2 linked regions of the Sus scrofa genome follow. The protein of the gene in region 1 interacts with the protein of each later gene in a pairwise test. Links are inferred from orthologs where the notes say so. Each region holds a gene or a part of one and is shown on either strand. Other genes may lie near its edges.

Region 1 (2,781 bases):
GGCCAGCTCCACCCCTTCCTCTTAATCAAGACTTCCCCGGAGTTCCCACTGTGGCTCAGTAGAAACGAATCTGACTAGTATCCATGAGGATGCAGGTTCATTCCCTGGCCTTGCTTGTGGGTCGGGGATCCTGCGTTGCTGTGAGCTGTGGCGTAGGCTGGCAGCTGTAGCTCCAATCAGACCCCTAGCCTGGGAACCTCCGTATGCCACAGGTGCGGCCCTAAAAAAGAAAAAAAGTAAAATAAATTAATAAATAAGACTTCCCAGAGTTCCCGTTGTGGCTCAGCGGGTTAAGAACCTGACATCGTGTCCGTGAGGAGGCGGGTTCCATCCCTGGCCTCGCTCAGTGGGTGGAGGATCTGGCATTGCTGTGGCTGTGGCACAGCGATGCGACCTCTAGCCTGGAAACCTCCATGCTGTGGGTGTGGCCCGAAAAAGAAAAAGAAAAAGTAAAAAGCTTCCCACCAGCCTCCCCAGATAGTCATCCTTAAAGGACACAGCCCCCAGCTACCGCCGATCACCCTCTACCCTGCCGGGCCTTGGGAGGAGGCGCCCCATGCACGGGGCAGGTAGGGTTCAGGCTGGGGGTCTGCCTGCCCTGAGCTCCCACACGCCCACCCTGTGTCCCCTGCAGGAGGCCGTGGAGTCCTGCCTGACCCGGGTCACCAAGCTGGAGCTGCAGCAGCAACAGCAGCAGGTGGTGCAGCTGGAGGGCGTGGAGAACGCCAACGCGCGGGCGCTGCTGGGCAAGTTCATCAACGTGATCCTGGCGCTCATGGCCGTGCTGCTGGTGTTCGTGTCCACCATCGCCAACTTCATCACGCCCCTCATGAAGACCCGCCTGCGCATCACCAGCACCGCCCTCCTGGTCCTCGTCCTCTTCCTCCTCTGGAAGCACTGGGACTCCCTCACCTACCTCCTGGAGCACGTGCTGCTGCCCAGCTGAGCGGCGGCCTGTCCCGACCCTGTGCGGTCCCCGGCGCCCAGCTGGCCATGCTTCCCCGCGGGGGGGACCCTGGGGCTCCGGAGTCCCTGGGACTTCTTCCTGTGTCCAGTTTGGCCTCCTGCCCAAACTGTCCATTCCAGCTCCGTCTGCCCCCTTCTCTGTTCTTGCTTTCTTCGGTCCGATGCCTTCTGTCCCTGTTGGCCTGAAGGGAGCCTCCAGGGTCACCCCGGCTGGAGGCGGCAGGGACGTCCGTGACCAAATAGAGCAGGGGACACCCTGATGGACTGTTTTGATTAAATTTATAGTCACACGATGATTTCTCCCAGCTGACACAGATGACATGGTTCAGGAAGGCCAATGAGCATGGGGACAGGGGAGGGCCATGCCTCAGCTTCCCTGGGGGAGAGGCTGGCAGCTCCTGTTCCCTCCTCCAGAGCTGTTTGAGGCTGGATAGTGGGTTGGGCCCTTCTGGGATCTGAAGGAGGCAGGCAGGCTCTCGGGAGGCTGGGTGGGCATGGCTTTGGATTCGTGTTTTCTCTGGAGTTCTTTCTGCCTGTCCCTGGATCTGCTCTTTTCAGGGAAAGAGGCCCGAGGGGCCCCCAGCCTCAGCCCAAGCCCTTAAGGTTCTATTTATTTTATTTATTTATTTATTCGTTCCTTTGGACCGGATCCCCCTGAGCTCCAGGGAGAGGGCCCCGCCCTCACCCCGTCCTCTCTCTGAAGCCAGGGCTGCTTCTTGGCTTGTCAGGCACTTCCATCCCACTTAGCTCTGGATCATCCTGGCTGCGAGAAGTGGGGGCAGGGCCAGCCGGCTCCACCTTCCCAGGCAGCCCCTCGGCCTCTTTTATACGTCTATTTATTTGGTATGTGTGTGTTTGTGTGGGGGAGGTTGTTTGTTGCTTTATTTTTTTAAGGCTCTGGAGTGTTGTGTATGGTTTCTCTTCCCTTCCCAGCCTCCCCGAGGGCGCTTCCAAGAAGAGGGGGGGCTTCTCGGAAAAGGAGAAAGAAATCCCCTTGGAGCAGGGGAGGGCAGGGCCTGCCAGCTATTGTGGACCTTCCCGAGAAATAAATACCCTCTAAATTTTCAAACCATCCTGTGTTGTGCTGATTGATTAGGCTGTTTCCGTGGAAACCACTCAGTCTCTTCCAACACTCAAGCCTTCTGGGTAACACAGCTGGGACCACACCCGTTGGCCTGAGACTTTATCCTCCAGGATCTGACGTTGAACAAGGTGTCATTCACCCTTCCATTTGCTTTCTGCAGCCAAAGCTCTGGCTTCGATGGTAGGGAGGTGAGATGATGCTTGTCCCATCCAGCACCTGCAGAGTGCTTTCTAGGAGGAAGGGAATTGGGAGAGCAGTTCCTTAAATGGGAGAAGATAAGCAGCTGGAGGCCTGGACGGCAAGTCATGCTCAGGTGTGGCCACGAGAGGGCAGCAGAGTCCTTATTCAACCCTTTCCTAGGGTTCGGTCCCAAAGACAAACAAGCCTCTGTTTTGTTTTAATTACTCAATGAATTTATTACATTTATACTTGTACAGTGATCATCACAATCCAGTTTTATAGGCTTTCCAAGTCACAACCCCAGCGCATACCCCCAACCCCCAAACTGCCTCCTTTGGAGACCATAAGTTTTTTAAAGTCTGTGAGTCAGTATCTTTTCTGCAAAGAAGTTCATTCTGTCCTTTTTTCAGATTCCACATGTCAGTGAAAGCATTTGATGTTGGTGTCTCATTGTCTGGCTGACTTCACTTAGCATGATCATTTATAGGTCCATCCATGTTGCTAAGAATGCCGGAATTTCGTATTTCGTTCCTTTTAATGGCTGAGTAATA
Region 2 (4,270 bases), on another chromosome or scaffold:
TGTAAAAATTAAAAGAGTTCCTATTATGGCTTAGTGGATTAAAATCCCAAAATAGTATCCATGAGGATGTGGTTTTGATCACTGGCCTTGCTCAGTGGGTTAAGGATCCTGAGTTGCAGTGAGTGAGCTGTGATGTAGGTTGCAGATGTGGCTTGGATCCAGTGTTGCTGTGGGTGTGGTGTATGCTGGCAGCTGCAGCTCTGATTTGACACTTAGCCCAAGAACTTCCATATGCCACAGATGCAGGCATAAAAGAAAAAAAAATTAATGAGAAATATATGTAAAGTCCTTAGTAACAAATGATATTTAATAAATGTTAGCCATTATTACAAAGCCACATGAATTTTGTTACTGCATTTGTAATAGGAACGTAATTGATCCTTTCCCCTAATAATGGGTGCTTTAAAAATCTTTTTAATTTACAGTGATGTGAGGAAAAAAGAAACACTTTGTAATTCAATGATTAACAAAGCCTTGCTTCTCCTGATTTAAAAGGGTTATTATTTAATAGTTTCTCTCTCTTGGCGTTCCCACCGTGGCTCCGCAGATAATGAATCTGACTAGCATCCCTGGATGCTAGTTCCATCTATGGCCTTGCTCATTGGGTTAAGGATCCTGTGCTGCCATGAGCTGTGGTGTAGGTCGCTTTGCTGTGGCTGTGGCATAGGCCAGCTGCTACAGCTCCTATTCACCCCTAGGCTGGGAACCTCTATATGCCACCGGAGCAGCCGGTAAAAAAAAAAAAAAAGAAAAGACTAGTTCCTCTCTCCCTTTTCTCTTTGGCTGTCAGGAAGCTAAGAGTCAAGTTCCAAATTTAACAAAAGCGGGTAGCCAGCTACACAGTTGTACAACTGTTTTTTCCTTTGTCAAGGTCTTCGCTACCACTTCATAATTACATTTTCTCTAACCCTGACTTTTTATATCCATGAGGGCAAATTGTTTGGTTTGGACAACAGTGCCATTTCACAAGGGTAAAGAACATCTTAGAGAGTGGTTATGGTCAGAATCACCTTTCGACCCAAGCAATGCCTAGGTAACAGCTTCCCTCCCTCCCTCGGCGCGTCTCTCCGCCCCTCCTCGCCCCTTGGCTCCGCCCCTCTTCGCCCCTTGGCTCCGCCCCTCCTCGCCCCTTGGCTCCGCCCCTCCTCGCCCCTTGGCTCCGCCCCGTCTCCCCGTCCCGCCCCTTCCCAACCGCCCCTCCAGTCTCTCCGTCCCCTGCGCCAGCGCGGGCACCGCCTCTTCTCGCGGGAGCTGTGCCCTGGTGGGAGGGGTGCCAGGGCCGTTCCTAGGATACGACGGATAACAGAGAATTCGGCAAGTGTGGACTCTGCTGTCTAGGAGCCTGAGAAACCGCTTCCACCAAAAAAACCCCTGCACTTATTAGTCAGGTAGGAGGACAGGTTCTGGCTGCCCTCTACTGGCGCGACCCCCCAGACCGACCTTGAGGCGGTGGCAAACGCCCTGGGTTCTGTGCAGGGCGCCGAAGCCGCCGGGGCTCTGGGCGTTGTTTTTCTTCTCTAGAATGTTCCAGCTGTCTCTAAAAAACTGCAAAGCATCTTTCTTGGTCACTTTTCTGCCTCCAAATCTCTTATTTGGGATTCGGAAGCAGAAGCACCAAGCTAGGATGTGTACCTCACCTCACACCCGAGTGCTTATCACGGTTAATAATATAGAAGCAAGACGTTTGTGTGACCCAGATCTGGCATTTGAAAATGTTTACCCTCTCGTAGTGACCGTTTTCAGTCTTGAGAAAATAGCGCTCTCAGACGTTCCTCTCACGGGCTTCGCTGTGGCTCTTAAAAAACTTAAAAACTCAAGAGGGCTATTTGATGGAAGGCAAAACTGGATCCCTGCCTTTCTACTTACACTAATATTCTGTACATATATATGTATGTATATATATATATGAACGAAATTATGTATTTTAGGTCAAAGAGGCACGTTCTGCAATCATCGTAGTGTTTTTCCTTTTTAAACAACTTTTTAAAGATTATAACATTTACACTTGAATAATACATTAAAAATGATTAAAAAAAAAAAAAAAAAGAATGGGAGTTCGCGTCGTGGCTCAGTAGTTAAGGAGTCTGACTAGGAACCGTGAGGTTGCGGTTCGATCGCTAGCCTAGCTCAGTGGGTTAAGGTTCCGGCATTGCCGTGAGCTGTGGTGTAGTTTGCAGAGGGGCTCGGATCTGGCGTTCCTGTGGCTGTGGCTTAACCTGGCAGCTACAGCTCCGATTGGACCCCTAGCCTGGGAACCTCCATATGCCACAGGAGCGACCGTAGAAAAGGCAAAAAGACAAAAACAAACAAACAAACAAACAAACCCCCAAAAAACTGAAAATCTGCTTTCCACCTATGTCCTTCTGCCACCACCCCACCCTCCACTTCACCTTCCAGAGAAATTCTATGCATAAACAATTATGTAGTTGTGCCGGTAACACTGTGCATACTGGTATGTTCTTTGGAGGAGGTCCTTGAAAGGACTTGACCCCTGGTTTACCCAGTACCCAGGTGGGCAGCTGAAGACTCTTTTCCCTTTCCTGTCCTTGGAATGTCCCTTCTCCCATTGTGCCTGAAACAGGACATGTGTTATTGAGACCATATGAACTGTATATATGACTGAACCCAGTTAAAGTCTCAAAACTCTTAAGATTTTGGCAGGTGGATGTTGAGATTTACTGTCTTTAGGCTGCCCAAGACAACCCTTGCTACCTGCCACCTACAATTTGGAGGGGTCTGCTTCTTTCTTCAGTTATCCTTGCGCTCTGTGTTCCAGGCTCAATTTTAGCTCTACCCAGGGAATTCCAGAGGTTGCGAACCAAAAGCTTTGCCTTTTCACTTAATTAAACCATACATGATGTAGCTTTTAGAATTGGCTTCTTCATTTAGCGTAGCTCATTGGAAATTCACCCATGTTGTTGTGTGTGGCAGTGACTTATTCCTTTTTACTGAGGGGGTGATATTCCATTTTGTGAATGCATGCATCATAGTACGGGTATCCATTCCTCAGCTAAGAAATATTTGTGTTATTTCTGGTCTTTTGGTGAGTAAGAACGAAGCTTTTATCAACTCGTGTGCAGATCTTGTGTGAATGTAGTTTTCTTGGATACAGATTGCTGGGTCATATGATAAGTGTGTGTTTAGTTTTACCAGAAAACTGACAAGTATCTCAAGTACTAAACCAATTTTCACTTCCAACATCAAGGTACAAGAGCTCCACTTGTATTCATTGTCATTGGCTCTTGATATTGCTGGGCTAAATTTTTTTTAAACTGTTCTAATAGATGTTTAGAGAAATCTCATCTGAAGTTTTATTTCTCTAATGACTAACGGTATTGAGTATCTTTTCATACTCAGGGACAAGACTAGAGTGAGGTAATGAGGCAACTAGGTCCAACATTTTAGGAGGCATTTATTCTCAGGCATTAGTGTGTGTATAGAGCAGTGCAGGTGCCACACTTGCCTCAATATAGTCCTGGCCCAGCTTATTTTCTTCCTATGTATAATCTTTGGTGACTGATCTGTTTAAATCTCTTACTCATTTTTTTCCCCTTACTGTTATTTTTTTTTCAATTGTGTTTGGAGAGTTCTCTCTATATAATCTGGGTACAAGTCCTTTATCAGATGTGAGTTTTGCAAAAAATTACATCCCAGGCTATGGTTTGTCTTTTGATTTTTCTAGGTGTGTTTTTTGGAAAGCAGAAGTTCTTGATTTTGTTACCGTTGCTGTTTTAGAAGATGCCGTCTTGGCCATTTTGGGGGGAGGGTGACCCAACCAGATAGAAACAAAAGCATTACCCCAGATTTTCCAGAAAGGGCGGATAAGTATGATGCTACGTGTTCGAGCTTCTTTGTGTTACTTTCTTTCCTATCAGGCCACTAAATTTTATTGTGGGAGAAAATTATAACCAAAAGGAATTTTTTTTTTTTTCTGGTGATTGAGAGCCTGAAGAGGTTTCTTGAACTTTTAAAAAATTGAGATCTTGTTTAGTTTTGTCTCATTGCACTTTTTTTTCTTTATTGTTCTGGATTTAAAAACTTCATTCAATTCTTTTATTGGTTGCTGTTGAAATTTAACCACATTTATTTATTTATTTTTTAGAGCTGCACCCATGGCATATGGAAGTTCCCAGGCTAGGGGTCGAATCAGAGCTGCAGCTGCCAGCCTACGCCACAGCCACAGCAGTGTGAGATCTGATCGGAATCTGACCTATGCTACAGTTCAAGGCAATGCCAGATGCTTAACCCATTGAGTGCGTCCAGGGATGGA

What was found.
Region 2: the proteins of TMCC2 (region 1) and IQUB interact in a two-hybrid assay, tested with the Homo sapiens proteins (2 studies listed by BioGRID and IntAct). The two-hybrid records come from large-scale screens. The link is inferred for Sus scrofa from reciprocal best matches to the Homo sapiens genes TMCC2 and IQUB.

Annotation. Positions count from the first base shown.
Region 1 is NC_010451.4:65,950,568-65,953,348, forward strand, and holds the end of TMCC2 (transmembrane and coiled-coil domains protein 2), read left to right. Parts: intron 1-634; coding exon 635-946; 3' UTR 947-2,039; downstream 2,040-2,781.
Region 2 is NC_010460.4:23,901,744-23,906,013, forward strand, and holds the start of IQUB (IQ and ubiquitin-like domain-containing protein), read left to right. Parts: upstream 1-1,211; 5' UTR 1,212-1,388; intron 1,389-4,270. UniProt on the Homo sapiens protein: Adapter protein that anchors the radial spoke 1 (RS1) complex to the A microtubule of outer doublet microtubules in axonemes. The triple radial spokes (RS1, RS2 and RS3) are required to modulate beating of the sperm flagellum.